Linked DNA regions of Macaca mulatta. Each later gene encodes a partner of the first gene's protein in a complex. Links are inferred from orthologs where the notes say so. Each region holds a gene or a part of one and is shown in the gene's direction. Other genes may lie near its edges. The genes, in order: NDUFAB1, FDX2 and LYRM4.

What was found.
Region 2: NDUFAB1 (region 1) and FDX2 share a complex: the UniProt entries of both Homo sapiens proteins name them as parts of the mitochondrial core iron-sulfur cluster (ISC) complex. The link is inferred for Macaca mulatta from reciprocal best matches to the Homo sapiens genes NDUFAB1 and FDX2.
Region 3: the proteins of NDUFAB1 (region 1) and LYRM4 are in contact, whole or in part, in a crystal structure (PDB 6ODD), measured with the Homo sapiens proteins. The link is inferred for Macaca mulatta from reciprocal best matches to the Homo sapiens genes NDUFAB1 and LYRM4. Residues at the interface, in NP_004994.1 of Homo sapiens: Lys92, Asp111, Ser112, Leu113, Asp114, Val116, Glu117, Met120, Glu123, Asp124, Glu129, Ile130, Asp132; in NP_065141.3 of Homo sapiens: Arg6, Leu10, Ser11, Tyr13, Arg14, Leu17, Arg18, Lys21, Arg37, Phe40, Arg41, Lys44.

What each region holds. Positions count from the first base shown.
Region 1 is NC_133425.1:23,136,889-23,142,881, reverse strand, and holds the start of NDUFAB1 (acyl carrier protein, mitochondrial), read left to right. Parts: upstream 1-1,993; 5' UTR 1,994-2,010; coding exon 2,011-2,178; exon of another isoform or gene 2,179-3,082; intron 3,083-3,888; exon of another isoform or gene 3,889-4,826; intron 4,827-5,993. UniProt on the Homo sapiens protein: Carrier of the growing fatty acid chain in fatty acid biosynthesis.
Region 2 is NC_133424.1:11,034,058-11,039,888, reverse strand, and holds the start of FDX2 (ferredoxin-2, mitochondrial), read left to right. Parts: upstream 1-2,404; 5' UTR 2,405-2,417; coding exon 2,418-2,571; intron 2,572-2,663; coding exon 2,664-2,718; intron 2,719-2,930; coding exon 2,931-3,037; exon of another isoform or gene 3,038-3,932; intron 3,933-5,831. Other genes in the region: RAVER1 (ribonucleoprotein PTB-binding 1), read left to right, coding at 35-178, 651-734, 824-970. UniProt on the Homo sapiens protein: Electron donor, of the core iron-sulfur cluster (ISC) assembly complex, that acts to reduce the persulfide into sulfide during [2Fe-2S] clusters assembly on the scaffolding protein ISCU.
Region 3 is NC_133409.1:177,975,538-177,980,914, forward strand, and holds part of LYRM4 (LYR motif-containing protein 4), read left to right. Parts: intron 1-1,299; coding exon 1,300-1,420; intron 1,421-5,377.

The sequences.
Region 1 (5,993 bases):
GTTGCCCAGGCTGGAGTGCAGTGGTACAATCATAGCTCACTGCAGCCTTGACCTCCTATGCTCAATTGGTCCTCCTACCTCAGCTTTCCCGAGCAGCTGGGACCACAGACATGCACCACCACGCCTGGCTAATTTTTTAAGTTTTTTGTGGAGACAGGGTCTCCCTATGTTGCCTAGGCTGGTCTCAAACTCCTGGGCTCAAGTGATCCACCTCCCTTGGCCTCCCAAAGTGCTGAGATTACAGAGGTGAGTCACTGAACCAGGCTTGCATGTCTGGCTTGCTCACTTTTGCAGCCTCAACAATGAGTACTTAACAGATATTCAATTTTCTTTTTTTTTTTTGAGATGGAGTTTCACTCTTGTTGCCCAGGCTAGAGTACAATGGCACAATCTCAGTTCTCTGCAACCTCCGCCTCCTGGGTACAAGCGATTCTCCTGTCTCAGCCTCCTGCCTCCTGAGTAGCTGGGATTACAGGCACCTGCCACCACACCCGGCTAATTTTTGTATTTTTAGTGGAGACGGGGTTTCACCATGTTGTCCAGGATGGTCTTGAACTCCTGACCTCAGGTGATCCACCTGCCTCAGCCTCCCAAAGTGCTGGGATTACAGGTGTGAGCCACCACACCTGGCAGCATACCATTACATTTTATTTTACTTGGATTTAACAAAAATAAAAAGAAATTGAGGTAAAACTGATGGCATTATTGGATCGTTCATTCAGGCAGATTTCAGAATTTGGAGTCACTATCCCGTGTGTTTCAATTTCAGTCAATATCCTTTGACTACCTGCTTAGAAATAGGAATTCGCCTAAACTCCTCCCTCGCTTACCTATTTTTGTTAGCTATTGTAAGGAACATGGCTGTGCTTTGGTCAAGGATAGGCCAAGGTAAGATGTTTACATCCTGCGTGACTCAGCAAGTTTAGACACAGGCGTATAACTCCACTTGTTATCACAGCCATGTAGCCATAACATGGGAAGGCCATCACTTGGCTCTAAGCCACTATTTTCTGTAAAAGGTATAATTGCCTTGCTAATACTGTACAGGCCTTCGTGCCCAGAGAAAGAGTGAGAGAGCCAGAGCTGTCCGTCTTTGCAGACAGACGTGGGGGAGCCAGAACACAGCTGAGAGAAAGAGTTCAGCTGCTGACCCTGAAAGCAAGGGAGAGCAGCCTCGCAGCTGTGTGTTGGAGCCCCGGGACTAAACAGCCGAGACAAGGTGGACAGTGTGAGAGAACTAGTGTAAGTAAGCTGCTGATGAGAGCTGCTGCTGAATAAAATCATCTTTCACCTGCCTACCGTCCCCTGAGTGTTCTTTTGCTATTTGCTCATCCACCCACTCACCTCAGAGCTCCATATGGGCTGGAACCTGGCTGTGGGCATGACAGTTGGCATAGTCGTGGACCTGACAGCTATATTATACACTGTCAAGTTTTAAAACATGTATTGTTTTAATCGTAATTCTCACATTTATTAGTCTTAGTATTTTTTCACATTATTTTTCATATATATATATAACCTATTCAATAAATGTTAATACTTGTGGAAGAATCGTGGAATCAAAACTTTGTCCTTTTTTTCTTTTAATCTTTTTTGTAACAGAGACGGAGTCTTGCCATGTTGGCCAGGTTAGTCTTGAACTCCTGAGCTCAAGCAGTCCTGCCACCTTGACCTCCCAAAGTGCTAGGATTAAAGGTGTGAGCCACCGCGCCCGGCCCCAAACGTTTAAATAGATATATTTCAGAACTTTCAGATAAAAAATGAAAGTAGGTTTGTCCTGTCGTGTCGCTTAGGGAAAGACTGCAACGTCTGCACAGTTCAGTCGTGGCACCAAGCAACTGTTCGTCCCGAACCTGGATGGGCTCCGAGGGCGCAGTGCCTCCTGGAGCCGCCAGGGGCCGCCACCGCCGGCGGTGCCCGACAGCGCTGCTCTGTGCGTCGCCTGCGCGCTGCCGGAGATGAACCCTGGGCCGGTGGCGGCGGCGCAGTGTATCCTGGGTCGGCGTAGCTATGGCGTCTCGTGTCCTTTCATCCTATGTCCGCCGCCTGCCCGCGGCCTTTGCGCCGCTGCCCCGGGTCCCGATGCTGGCCGTGGCCCGGCCTCTCAGCACCGGTCTGTGCTCCGTGGGGACCCAGACGAGGCTCGGGCCTTTGCAGCCGGCCTTAAAGCTCGCGCAGGTGACTCGCGGTGACTTTTCTGGGGCTTGGCAGGGGTCAGGAATTGGGCCCGGTGGGGGTGGGGGCCGGGCACCCCAGCCGCGCCAGCTGCCCGCAGGGGTGACCCGGGGGGCAGCCGGCTCGCTCCGCAGCCCCGCTGCCTAAAGGTGTTTAGTTGACCCCTGCCGGGAGGCCAGGTGACCTCGTAATAACTAGCAAGAGCACTGACTAGAGTCCAGCTCCGCTGGACTGCCGCTTACCGAAACTTTGGACAAGTCTTCTAGCCTTGCTCACACTCACCTGCAAAATTGGGATCCTGGCCTCTACCTTGCGGAGTAGCAATAAGGATTAGATGAGTTAATGCGGATAGAGCACCTCGTACCGTCTCAAAATAGTGGTCACCGTATTGTAGTGAAAGCAGCATGCAAAGAGGTAGCCACACTGGCCTACAGCCTTCTACAGAGCGGTTCTCTCTGCAGTTCTGTCCTTTTCCCTGCTGCACCTTCTGCCTGTGTCCAGGACTCCTGGAAGTAATTCTAGGAAACAAGTGCAGGTGACCTTTGAACAATAAGGATTTGAATTGTGTTGGTCCACTTAAATGCGGATTTTTTTCAACCAAACGCGGCCAGTATTTACGGGATGTGCCGCCCTGCGTATAAGGAGGGCAGGCTCTTCCTATAAGGGGATTCTGCAAGGCTGACGGCGGGACAGGAGTGTGCGCGGATTTGGGTATAGTCAGGGGTCCTGGAACCAATCTCCTGCGCGAATACCAAAGAACGACTGTGCCTGTAGTATATAGCTTGAGCTGATGAAATCTGCGTGAGGCTGAAACGCCAGGAGGCAGTGATTTTCAAACCTAGCTCCATATTCAAATTACGTGGGTAACTTGAAAAAACAGAAAAGCTTTGCCCCCTCCCCCTTCCTGCTGATTTATTCCTCTGGGATGATGCCCTGCCATGGTGGTGGTAGTGTTATTGTTGTTTTTGAGACAGAGTCTCGCTCTGTAGCCCAAGCTGGAGTGCAGTGGCGTGATCTCGGCTCACTGCAACCTTCGGCTCACTGCAACCTCCGGTTCACGGCAACCTCCGCCTATCAGGTTCAAGCGATTCTCCTCCCTCAGCCTCCCGAGTATTTGGGACTACAGGTGCCCACCACCATGCCTGGCCAATTTTTGTATTTTTAGTAGAGACGGGGTTTCATCATATTGGCCAGGCTGGTCTCCAACTCCTGACCTCGCAGTCCACCAGCCTTGGCCTCCCAAAGTGCTGCGATTACAGGCGTGAACCACCGCGCCCGGCCTGTTGTTGTTGTTCTAGGCTCTCCAGATGACTCTGAAGTGCAATTGAGAATAAAAATAACCTTCTTAAGGTAGGATAGACTCTCAAGGTCAAGTTATGAAACCCCTTTTCAAAGTCATAGACTTCAGGTAATAGGGTTTCAACCTTGACTGCATGTTAGTGTGAAAAATAAGTGTGTCTGGCCAGGCGCGGTGGCTCATGCCTGTAATCCCAGCACTTTGCGAGGCTGAGGTGGGCGGATCGCTTGAGCCCAGGAGTTTGAGACCTTCCTAGGCAACATGGTGGAACCCTGTCTCTACAAAAAAATACATAAATTAAGCCACCGCGGTGGCTCACGCCTGTAAACCCAGCACTTTGGGATGCCGAGGTGGGCGGATCACGAGGTCAGGCGATGGAGACCATTCTGGCTAACACGGTGAAACCCCTTCTCTACTAAAAATAAAAAAAATTAGCCGGGCGTGGTGGCACGCGCCTGTAGTCCCAGCTACTCAGGAGGCTGAGGCAGGAGAATCGCTTGAACCCGGGAGGCGGAGGTTGCAGTGAGCCGAGATCACCAGTGAGCCAAGATGCCAAGTCTGGCATCCTCCTTCCTGGCCACTCAAGGACTGAGTGACAACCTTTGTTATTGCATCAGCCTACAGATACTTCTGTCGTGGTGCTTGCCATATTTTTATTTCAGCTAAAATGATCTGTGGATTGGTCTTTTCCATTAGAGTGGAAGCTTCTCTGGGGGGAAGGTTGTGTCATATTCATCTTTGCATTTCCAGCCCATTGCACAGTTCTTGGCACACAGGTTAAGTTCCCAGGCTTCTGAGACAGTCATGTAAATAGATAAAGGCAAGACATTGTGAGAACAGGTGTGTGTAGTGCAGAAGCAAAAAGAGGTACTTGACCAACCTCTCAGCAAACATGATCTTGAAGGCCTGTGCAGAGACCAGGAAGAGCCCTCGTGGTTGACTCTTAGGGTGTCTGGAAGGGAACATCGTTGGGGGGAAGAGAGTGAGCATATCATGAAGGGAGCTGTGTGCTGCAGTGAGGAATTGTGGATGTTCTCTGCCAAGGTCATAGGGAGTGAACATGAAGCAGGGCTTATTGAAGGAATAAGCCCCAGGTGGCGGAGAAGGAACAGACATCTCTAAGCAGGAGTTTTGGAGACAGGTCAGGAGTTCATTTCCAAACTGTTGAGTTTGAGAGGTCTGGGCTGCCTATGTAGAGTGGACCAGTCGGCAGTTTGTAGAGACAGCCTTTAAAGCCCTCTCCTTAGCCTCCTCTGAGTTTGCCTCAGGCAAAAGTGGGCCCCAGTGGAGTACCTGGATTCTGATGGAACCTCATGCATTTGAATTACTAGTCCAGAGGGCCGTCACTGTTTACCTGCAAACAGTACCTTCTCTGATGTCTGGGAGAGGTGGTTTATTGCCCATATAATTGTTAAGTGTAGATCTTGAGGAAGAAAAATTAACACCAGAAACCTCACATGTTGGCTGTTGGGGAGGTGCTTGTCCATTTTGTATCCCTTTTATTTTTTCCCAGTCAACAGAGATCCAGCTAGAAGGAGCAACAAGACCTTCCAAGAGGCCATGCTGGAAGAACATGGGGTGAGGGGGATACCTAACCTCCCCCTGCCTCAGTTTCTCATCTGTAAAAAGGAGGGTGATAGTATCATGAATCTCACCAGATTACTGGAGAGCTGAAGGAAGATGATGTGTGTAAAGTGCTTAGGGCAATATCATAGCCTGACTTGATAAGAAATCAATGGAAGCCAGGCGTGGTAGTTTATGCCTGCCTGTAATCCCAGCACTTTCGGAGACTGAGGTGAGTGGATCACTTGAGACCAGGAGTTCAGGACCAGCCTGGCCAACATAGTGAAACCTCATCTCTACTAAAAATACAGAAATTAGCCAGGCATGGTGGAGCATGCCTGTAATCCCAGCTACTTGGGAGGCAGAGGCATAAGAATCACTTGAACCCAGAAGGCAGAGGTTGTAGTGAGCCGAGGTCACAACACTGCACTCCAGCCTGGGCAACACAGTGAGACTCTGTCTGAAAAAAAAGAAAAAGAAATCAATAGAGACCAGAGGCAGAAGCATGAGAGGGGAGTAGGATCAAGTATTTTGGGGCTACGCTACAGCCAAGGTATCAAACTAGCTGCTGCTGGTCATTGGTCTCAGGATCCTACTAAATAACCCAAAATAGCACTTATTGTGTAAGTGCCAGCCAATGTCCAAGCCCTTTACTTCATCTCTTCACAACAGTCCTGTGAGCATGGTACTGTTGTTTATCCCCATTTTACAGATGAGGAAACTGAGGTGTACAAGGTTAAGTAACCCACCCAAGGCCAAACAACTAGTGAGAGCCAGCACCATGGTGCAGGCATAGGCGGTCTAGTTTCAGAGTCTGAGCTCTTGCCCACCAACTTACTGCCTCATGCTGACCCTGATGCAGCACCCACTCTAGATGGCATGTGGCCTCCAGTCAGAGACTCATTTAATTTAATCACATGGTGCCCACCTGGCCCCTGTAGGTACTTGCCTGAGCTGC
Region 2 (5,831 bases), on another chromosome or scaffold:
TGTCTGCTTCACTCCACCGACCCTTCTTCCGCAGATGTCCCCGCCGCCCAGTGGCTTCGGTGAACGGAGCAGCGGTGGGAGTGGCGGGGGCCCCCTCTCTCACTTCTATTCAGGCTCGCCCACTTCCTACTTCACCAGCGGCCTGCAGGCTGGCCTCAAGCAGAGCCACCTCAGCAAGGTGAGGAGCCTCTCTGGCTGAACACAGGCATCCTGGGACAGCTACGATTCGGGGGTGCTTGCCACCGGGGCTCTGTGACCCTCGGTACCCAGGCCAAAGCTGGGGTGGTGGCAGGGGTCGGTCTTGCTCAGGGTGGAGTAGCAACAGCCTGTTGTCCTCTATCCACCCTGTGCATCAAGCACCTAGCACTGCTAGCCTTCCAGGCTTTCTGTCACTTCCTCCCTCTACAGCCCAGGCTGTGGGTGCTACTTGGCCCCATTTGACAGATGAGAAAACCGAGGCTCAAATAAAATGGAGCAATTGGCCCCCAGGTCTCATGGCTAGAAAGTAGCAGAAGCAAGATTTGAACCTGAAACCTGAAACCCTTTGCCTGCGGGGACAGGGAGGGCGGGGAGGGCGCGGGCGCCGGGCGGGAGGGGTGCTTCCTCTGGCCCCCAGGGAGTAACCTGTTCCACCTCTCCATTTCTTCCAGGCGATCGGCTCTTCCCCACTGGGCTCCGGAGAAGGGCTCCTGGGCCTCGGCCCAGGGCCTAATGGTCATAGCCACCTGCTGAAGGTACGGGCAGGGGGTGGGGACATGCAGGGCTGGGGAGCCCCGGCCCCCCAGCAGCCCCTGACCTGCCCCGCCCTGCCCTCTGTCTCCAGACCCCACTGGGCGGCCAGAAACGCAGCTTTGCCCACCTACTGCCCTCGCCCGAGCCCAGCCCAGAAGGCAGCTATGTGGGCCAGCACTCCCAGGGCCTCGGCGGCCACTACGCGGACTCCTATCTGAAGCGGAAGAGGATTTTCTAAGTGGCTGGTGCCAGAGATAACTCAAGGGCCTGCACCAAATCGCTTTTGGGTTTTCTGGTGTTTTGTTTTGTGTTTTTTTAAACCATTTTCTCTCTTTCGGTAATAGAAAAATCTCTGAAAGACTTTACTGACCAATCAGCTGGAGCCCCAGGAGCCCAAGGGGTGTGGGGGAGTCTGGAGGCCTCACTGCACCTCTGGCTTGCTCCCCACACCGAAACCCTGCAGCCTTAAGAGAGAGGGGCCCCGGCCTGCTCTCCCTCCCTCCCCCCATCTCCTCTTCCGATGTGCCCGTCTCTCCGGAGCCCTCCTGCCTCGTTGATCCTGTAATTTTGGCCTTTCGAGTGCCTTGGAGGTTTCCCTGACCTCCCGTGAGGATACAGAGACTGTCTCCTTTTTTTTAACTTTGACAACTGACTTCTGTTTCCTTTTCTAATTTTTATTTTTAAAACCACCGCGGACAACCCCCAGCTGTGATTCCTTCAAGGTCCGGCCTGTCCGGGCCACCATTCCACACTTTGCAGTTTGAAACAGCTCTTTTTCCCACATCTGCTGCAGGCATGGCTGTCTCCTGCCCCTGCCTGCCCATCTGGCCAATATCCCAGCCCCGGGGCCCGGGGTCCCTGCCGCAGCCCCCTCCCCTTCTGATGCCTTAAAAGCTGGGCCCCAGGCCCTGCTGGCCAGAGCCACAGATGCCAAGCTCTGGGAGCTTGACTATGGACCAAACAGCTCTGGCCTAGGGATTGGGCCACCCTACCTAGGATCTCCACCCTGGGGACAGTAGAAGGGCAAAGCCTTCATCTTGGCTAACCAGCCTCACCACCCCCTCCTGCCTGGGCCTCAGTGCAGAGATGGGCTTTCTCTGCCAATCCCCTGCTGTCTGTCTGTGGGAGTCGGACGTTGTGCCCATCTCCCAGAGCCTCTGCTGTCACTCCCTTGTTGAAGATGAATTCTTGAATTCTGCCTGCCCACCCCAGGCCAGATCCCCGGAGCTGGCCTCCTTTCAGCCCAGGGCCAGAAACCAGCACTCCATGAAGATAAGCTCTGGGCCCGCACACCAGCAGGACCTGTCGACCTGAGGTGACCCTGGGCCTTGCCCCCAGCCAACTGGGCCACTAGCTTCCCTCCCTTGACTCTGGGGGTCCACATCCACTCCAAGGGGACTATTCCCCGGACCCCACCCCAATCTCCCCACACGGACCTTTGCTGAATTAAAGTTTGTAAGTAAATGGTTTTAAAGAAATCAGAGTTGGCTGGTTCTTGGGACAAACAGTGGGCCTGAGTGGGAGGTCTGGGATGGCCCCGCGGGTATACCTGAGCTGGATCCCGCCCTGCTCTTCCCTCCTTGTCACCGCAGGCCCTAAGCAAACATCTGCGCTTCTGTTCCAGTGATTACGGGCCCTTACCTCGCGTCCCTGGCGCGGCGCATGCTCAGTCGGTGGGTCACGTGATGCACGTCATGGCTGCCTCCATGACCCGGGGCGGCGTGAGTGCCAGGGTTCTGCTTCAGACTGCAAGGGGCACCTGGTGGAACCGAACTGGGGGCACTTCGGGGTCGGGGGAGGGGGTGGCGCCGGGGACAACCAGAAAGTTTCAAGCGACAGGTACCTGAGGCGCCCGGGGCGGGCAGCGTTAACCCGTCAGATGCCGGCGGGGCGGGGCTCTGCGCAGCCGCTCACTCAACCGTGTTTTCCAGGCTCGCGCTCGGCGGGAGAGGAGGAGACAGGCGGCCCCGAGCAGCCCGGGGACGTGTGAGTGCAGGGGGCCAAGTCCCCCATTCCTCATCCCACGGAATTCCTCTGGTCCCCATCTTGCCCTGTAGCTTCATCTCGCGGTCCCCCTTCTGCTTTGCCCTATTCAGCACCCGTGCGTCAAGCCTCAGTCCCTACTTCCTAACCCCAGATTCTACCCGGGCCCTGAGCCCATCATCCAGTTCGGCATTCGCACCTCCATCTGTCCCCAGGGTGAACGTGGTGTTCGTAGACCGCTCAGGCCAGCGGATCCCAGTGAGCGGCAGAGTCGGAGACAATGTTCTCCATCTGGCACAGCGCCACGGGGTGGACCTGGAAGGTAGGAACTGGGCACAGGGAGTTAAGGAGGTCCTTATCCATTTGTCCAAAACAAAAACAAAAACAAATCAGGTGTGTCTCTTCATGACTTTTCCCACCAAATATGGACTAAAATCCAAACCCCTTACCACGGCCTCATCTGTTGCCAAGCTCTTATTTATTAAGCATTTATTAGAGATCACTAGGACTCCTGACTCCCAGGATTTTGTGTTCTCTTCCCCCTTCCTCCCTGTATTCTAGCCACATTGGCTTTCTTTTTGTTGTTGTTTTGAGATGGAGTTTCACTCTTGTTGCCCAGGCTGGAGTGCAATGGCTTACTGCACCTCAGCTCACTGCAACCTCCACCTCGCGGGTTCAAGCGATTCCCCTGCACCACCTGCCAGACTAGCTGGGATTACAGGCGCCCACCACCAAGCCCAGCTAAGTTTTGTATTTTTAGTAGAGACAGGGTTTCACCACGTTAGCCAGGCTGGTCTCAAACTCCTGACAGGCAATCTACCCGCTCAGCCTCCTGAAATGCTGGGATTACAGGCGTGAGCCACCACACCCAGCCCACACTGGCTTTCTTGTGGTTCCTCAAATAGTCCAGCTCATTCCTTCCTGCCTCGGGTCCACTGCATTTGCTGTTCCCTCTGTCTGAAGTGCTTGCCCAGCAAACATTCTGGCTCTTTCTCATCCTTCAGACCTCAATGTAAATGTCATGTCCCTAACAATCCCATTCCCCTCAGCCCAGCTGAAGTACCCATGCGCTAGTTACTCTGTCTCATCAGTGTGATATGATATATAGCACTTCTCACTTTTTTGTCTTTTCAAGAGACACAGCCTTGCTGTGTTGCCAATGCCGGAGTGCCATGATGCAATCATACGTCACTGCAGCGTTGAACTCCTGGGTTCAAGTGATCCTCCCACCTCAGCCTCCCAAGTAGCTGGGATTATAGGCACAAGCCACGATGCCAGGCTGTTTTGTTTCCTACTTTGTCATCTGTCCCCCAGTGAGACTGGAGACCCATGTTCTTATTCATGCTTATCTGTTGCCTTGTCTGTCAGGATGTAACAGGTGTTTGATAATTTGTTGAGAGAAAAATAATAATAGAAATTTCTTGTCCAGGCGCAGTGGCTCACGCTTGTAATCCCAACACTTTCGGAGGCCGAGGCAGGTGAATCACTTGAGGACAGGAGTTTGAGACCAGCCTGGCCAACATGGTGAAACCTTGTCTCTACAAGAAACACAAAAATTAGCGGGGTGTGGTGGCACATGCATATAATCCCAGCTACTTGGGAGGCTGAGGCACAAGAATCACTTGAACTTGGGAGGCAGAGGTTGCAGTGAGCCAAGATGGCACCACTGTACTCCAGGCTGGATGGCAGAGCGAGACTGTCTCAAAAGAAAAAATATATATATATATATATATCTCTTTAACTATGTTAATACATATTCACTGACTGAATCTTCATGACAACTTGAGTAGTAGAGACTGTTATTCCATATTATAGATGAGGAAACTAAACCCCAGGTTAAGTAGACCTGGTCTAAGGTCAAGTGAGTGACAATACTAGACTCACCAGTCCATTTTAGCCACTAATCTGTGTTGCCTTTTTATGAATACCTACTGCTCGTCAGGCAGCAATATACAAAACACATAAGGCCTCTGTCATTTCACACCCATTTCGGCCTAATAGGGACAATAATCCCACAGGTAAATATATAATTATGTCATGAGTAACTTGGGAAGGGTTGTCTGGAAGAAAACATACAGGGTTTGCTTTTGGAATGAATATATCAGGGATCCTGATTTTATCATTAAAGGGGAAGATATGTTGGGAGGGGTTATGAAAGGCCTACGTCAAGTTCTGTTCTGGAATCCAGCAGCCAGTAGTCTAGGACAGAGATTGGAATGTGAAATAGATTTGCTTTTTTTTGAGACAGAGTCTCGCTCTGTCACCCAGGCTGGAGTGCAGTGGCCAGATTTCAGTTCACTGCAAGCTCTGCCTCCCGGGTTTACGCCATTGTCCTGCCTCAGCCTCCTGAGTAGCTGGGACTACAGGCGCCCGCCACCACGCCCAGCTAGTTTTTTTGTTTTTTTTTTTAGTAGAGATGGGGTTTCACCATGTTAGCCAGGATGGTCTCGATCTCCTGACCTCGTGATCCGCCCGTCTCGGCCTCCCAAAGTGTTGGGATTACAAGCTTGAGCCACCGCGCCCGGCCCGATTTGTTTATTTATTTATTTATTTGAGACAGAGTCTCGTTCTATCACCCAGGCTGGAGTGCAATGGCGTGATCTTGGCTTACTGCAACCTCCCCCTCCCGGGTTCAAGTGATTCTCTTGCCTTAGCCTCCCGAGTAGCTGGGATTACAGGCGCCTGCCACCATGCCCAGCTAAATTTTTGTTTTTTTTTTTTGAGACGGAGTCTCGCTCTGTCGCCCAGGCTGGAGTGCAGTGGTCGGATCTCACCTCACTGCAAGCTCTGCCTCTCGGGTTTACGCCATTCTCCTGCCTCAGCCTCCCGAGTAGCTGGGACTACAGGCGCCCGCCACCTCGCCCAGCTAGTTTTTTGTATTTTTTAGTAGAGACGGGGTTTCACCGGGTTAGCCAGGATGCTCTCGATCTCCTGACCTCGTGATCTGCCCGTCTCAGCCTCCCAAAGTGCTGGGATTACAGGCTTGAGCCACCGCGCCCGGCCAATTTTTGTATTTTTAATAGAGATGAGGTTTCACCATGTTGGCCAGGGTGGTCTCAAACTCCTGACCACAGTTGATCTACCTGCCTTGGCCTCCCAAAGTGCTGGGATTACAG
Region 3 (5,377 bases), on another chromosome or scaffold:
CACTGTGGAGGCTGAGGCGGGAGGATCACTTGAGCCCAGGGGTTTGTGATTGTAGTGAGTTATGATCATGACACTGCCTGTGCAACAGAGGGACACCCCATCTCTAAAAAAGAAAAAAAAATAGAGAAAATGGTGTCTCACATGTCTGACTCAGTCTGCTTCTCCTTAGTCTTGTGCCTTTCATTCTGGAGTAGATGGGGTGGAGCTAGCGATAGACCATAGCCATCTGAGTGTGGGACTATGTCTAAGGACTGCTGAGTTGTCTGTTGTGGCTAATTATCCAGACCACTCTACCTTCTGTACGCACACTGTGGTGTGACTGTAAAGATGCAGGACTAAGGAAGGCAAGGTTATGGCATGAGGAGAGGGAATACTAATTGCATTAAGGCGTAACAAGTGTTAAGAATAGCTTTCATTTATTGAGTCTTTCTATATAACAGGCTCTGGGCCAAATTCCAGACCCATGTTATAAAGCCAAATCCTCCCAGCAGCACTTAGCATTATTATGCCTTTATGACAGATGAGGAGACATGGCCTTTTGTTAAAAAGCTTGCCCAAGTTCACACAAACAGTAGGAGCTGGAGCAAGGCTACAAACCCAAGCCTGTCTGATCCGCAAGCCTTGCTGTGGAACTGCTGTCCTGTACTGCAAGTGATCTGTCTGCTTGGGGGTGGGTGGTAGGCGTGTGCACTTTCAAGATGGAGGAAAAGAAAGCATGTTGGCCTAATTCCACAGGTTCAACTGTGGTGGGATCCTAATGTGGACCAAAGAAAGGGAAGTGAGAGCCAGAAGATGGGACAGGGATTGGAAAGCATAGGTCACTATCTGGGTACATGCAAATGTGATCATCATTTAACCTCTGAATTTTTTTCTTCCTTTTTTAAAGACAGGGTCTTGCATTGTCGCCCAGGCTGGAGTGCAGTAGCACAATCATGGATCACTGCAGCTAACCTCTGAATTCTTGATTTATGTCTGTACACTAAAGGTTCAATTATCCATGTAAATGGAGTGAAGCCAGATGTGAATAATGCTAAAGAACCAATAATCTAAGGAACTCTTCAGTAGCAGTTTGCCATTTGTATGTGGCTTGTTGAGAGTAGATTTATTTTCCTAAATCTGTTTGCTTAGTCATCCCAGAATGGTAATGGATCTGCCTGCGCCACGAGCAGAGATCAAAGTGGATTATCCATAGGGGAAGATTAGACAGTTAATTCTAAAGGAAAAGCTTTTAAATTCATTTGAAAGCATAGTCTCAGACACACTGACACCTTTTCTTTTTTTTCCTCTGAATTCATTTAGAACATATGCTGTCAGGAGGATAAGAGATGCCTTCAGAGAAAATAAAAATGTGAAGGATCCTGTAGAAATTCAAACCCTAGTGAATAAAGCCAAGAGAGACCTTGAAGTAATTCGTCGACAGGTAAGATGGTTCAATGACGTACTGTTTTTCATTAAGAGCTTTAAACTTTGACATATCCCCCTTGATTAGACAGCAGTGCTTTTGGTGTTGGTGATTTACAGAGCAGGATCATGAAACTCTGTTCCTTGTACTAATACAGACATGTAAAGGTGAACTCTCATATTTTCAGATTCAAGTTGAACTTAAAATATCAGCTTTCCAGAATTTCCAGGAAGTGTATCCTTCTGGAAAGCTGATACTTTAAATATGAGAAATTTCTGCATTACTGTTATTGAAAGCTAAGTTTTTATAAGATGTATTGCACATGTATACTTGGATATATTTCAGAGTATAAATATATTCTCCCTTTCCTAGTATTTTTAATCACAATTCAGGATAAACAGAACGTGGCGCTTTTCTTGAAGACACCATCGTGGGTGGTGAACCTGAATTACGTTGCCACATGGGCGGTGCATCTGCAGGTGCAGATGGTGTAAAGTCACCTGCTTGGGTGCTGACCCCATAAAGGACCCTGGAGGGCGTGTTTTCATTTCGTGGAAGTGCCAAGGATCACCTTGTGCTTCCTTCTCTCATTCTCGTGAGGCGGGCGGAGCTTCTCTCATCCTCGTGAGGCAGGCGGGGCTTCTCATTCTCGTGAGGCGGGCGGGGCTTCTCTCATCCTCGTGAGACGGGCGGGGCTTCTCTCATTCTCGTGAGGCGGGTGGGGATTCTCATTCTCGTGAGGCGGGCGGGGCTTCTCATTCTCGTGAGGCGGGCGGGGCTTCTCATTCTCGTGAGGTGGGCGGGGCTTCTCTCATCCTCGTGAGGTGGGCGGGGCTTCTCATTCTGTTGAGGCGGGCGGGGCTTCTCTCATCCTCGTGAGGCGGGCGGGGCTTCTCCCATTCTCGTGAGGCGGGCGGGGCTTCTCATTCTCTTGAGGTGGGCGGGGGCGTCTCTCATTCTCTTGAGGTGGGCGGGGCTTCTCTCATTCTCGTGAGGCGAGCGGGGCTTCTCATCCTCGTGAGGCGGGCAGGGCTTCTCATCCTCGTGAGGTGGGCGGGGCTTCTCTCATCCTCGTGAGGCGGGCGGGGCTTCTCATCCTCGTGAGGCGGGCGGGGCTTCTCTCATTCTCGTGAGGTGGGCAGGGCTTCTCATTCTCTTGAGGTGGGCGGGGCTTCTCTCATTCTCGTGAGGCGGGCGGGGCTTCTCTCATTCTCGTGAGGCGGGCGGAGCTTCTCATTCTCGTGAGGCGGGTGGGGCTTCTCATTCTTGTGAGGCGGGCGGGGCTTCTCTCATTCTTGTGAGGTGGGCGGGGCTTCTCATTCTCGTGAGGCGGGCGGAGCTTCTCTCATTCTCGTGAGGCGGGTGGGGATTCTCATTCTCGTGAGGCGGGCGGGGCTTCTCATTCTCGTGAGGTGGGCGGGGCTTCTCATTCTCGTGAGGCGGGCGGGGCTTCTCATTCTCTTGAGGTGGGCGGGGGCGTCTCTCATTCTCTTGAGGTGGGCGGGGCTTCTCTCGTTCTCGTGAGGCGAGCGGGGCTTCTCATCCTCGTGAGGCGGGCAGGGCTTCTCATCCTCGTGAGGTGGGCGGGGCTTCTCATTCTGTTGAGGCGGGCGGGGCTTCTCTCATCCTCGTGAGGCGGGCGGGGCTTCTCATTCTGTTGAGGCGGGCGGGGCTTCTCTCATCCTCGTGAGGCGGGCGGGGCTTCTCTCATTCTCGTGAGGCGGGCAGGGCTTCTCATTCTCTTGAGGTGGGCGGGGCTTCTCTCATTCTCGTGAGGTGGGCGGGGCTTCTCTCATTCTCGTGAGGCGGGCGGGGCTTCTCTCATTCTCGTGAGGTGGGCGGAGCTTCTCTCGGTCTCGTGAGGTGGGCGGAGCTTCTCGTTCTCGTGAGGCGGGCGGGGCTTCTCTCATTCTCGTGAGGCGGGCGGAGCTTCTCTCATCCTCGTGAGGCGGGCGGAGCTTCTCTCGTTCTCGTGAGGCGGGCGGGGCTTCTCATTCTCGTGAGGCGGGCGGGGCTTTTCTCATCAGGTGAGGTGGGTGGAGCTTGTGCAGCAGCTTGATCTCCTGGGCGGTCTGATAACATCCCCAAGAGTAATTAGAACGTCAGAGGTTGAAGTCACTGTCCACCGATGGGTTTTCTTACTCTCTAAAAAACACCCTTTTCACTGTTTTTCTTGGACTTAGCAGCAATCACGCAATAAACTCCATTTCTGCTTCCATTTCGTGTTTCTCTTTTACTTGCAGGAAATTTGTTTATAAAGTGTGGAGGGGGAAACCCTTTACCATTTCTGTAAGTTATGCTGTACTGTTTTGAGAGGGCTTCTTTAGCATCATCAGGAGATGCCAGCTTGGCTGATATTAAATTAGATAATAATCTTTCCCTGACCCTTCTTCATGCTTGACTCTAAACAATTCAAAAAAGAAGCAATATTTGAAACTATAATTTGCAATTTATGTCAAGATTAAAGGTCTTGTTATATTGCCTACATAATATAACAGTTCTTTCTAGAATAGCATTTGGGATTCTCATAACCATCCTTGAGTTCTACAGCTATTTAGTAATAGAATAACTGCCACACTCAGACAGTCCTGGGAAATGATCTCTAAAGCCAGAGGATAGTAGGGTACTCAGAAAAGAAACTGATCTGTACATTTATATATATTTTGAGAGTGGCATTTACGTGAGTAAACATTTTGAAAACTCTAGAACAATGGCATTTCCAGTCACCAGTGGTTGAATTTTATGAGATCCTTTAGCAGTGGAGCATAGAAGAACAAGCAGCTGAGTTCTTATTTTGCATAAACGCAGAAAGATTTTGTTCTTTGGCACTTACTGTGTGTAGAGGTTGGCAAAACAGGCAGGTTTTATCTTTAGCGTAAAATTGTACAGAGTATAAACTGCTTAGAAAAGAGGGATTGTAAATAATCTGTGCCATCATTTCTCCTGCTATATCTAATTGTCTGTGTCACTTCTTGGTTTGAAATGCTCAAACCACCCTTTCAACAAAAAAACAAAAACAAAAGACTAAACTGGCCCTCATCTGACATCCCAGTGATCCCCCCTCCCCCAGGACAGACTCACTGGAGCAGTGGCATGTGCAGGGCAAGGGCGCCCTCCCCAGGGCAGCCTGTCCACTGCACCTTCCTGATGGAGAATACATACTGCGGGGCCAGGGCTTCCATGGTGACCTTGCAGAACAGCATGCTGTCACCACCTCAGGGATGAAAGCGTTCTCATCCCTTCAGAGAACCAGTTAGACAGCAGCTGCTAGGAAGTTTCTACTCACTTCCCTTTCATGTCAAGACTCTTCCTGAATCCACATGCAGCCTTTACCGTAGTTAGGGTATAAGGCGTAGTGGCCTCCCAAGCCATCTGGCTGCAAGCTGGCATAAGATGCCTTTGGACTAACAGCCTGTGGTGAGGTGGAGAGTCTGTATTTTTGCACACTGTCCTCTCTAACTGGCTGCTGTAGTAGCCTTCTGACCTGTCCTCCGGGTGCCCCCACTACCACTGCACCCCACACACGGTCTGTTTTCCACACACCACCATCACAGTGATCTTTTTCAAAAGAAAGATTGGGCCACTGCCCCGCTCAACCCCTTCCAGGCTCTTGCTTCATGGCACCCTAACATAAAACCTGAAGCCCATCTGAGGTCCCCAGAGGCCCTCCATTGCTCTCCTCTCCCTCACTCTCCCTATTTCCATGAACTTGCTGCCATCTCAATGCCTGTGCACCCCCTACCTGGAGGAGTCCCTCCAGACGTTCCTGTAGCTCCCTTCCCCTTCCACCCAGGCCTGTGCTCAGATTTCGTCTTCCCATAGGGGCCCCCCTGGGATCACACCATATAAAACAGACTCACTGTCTCTCCCCTGCCCTGCCTTAGTTTTCCTGACAGCACTTATCAGTACCTACTATGACATTACTTGTGGCCTTGTCTGTTTTCTCCCTCTTTTGCAAGACAGCAGGGGGCATGA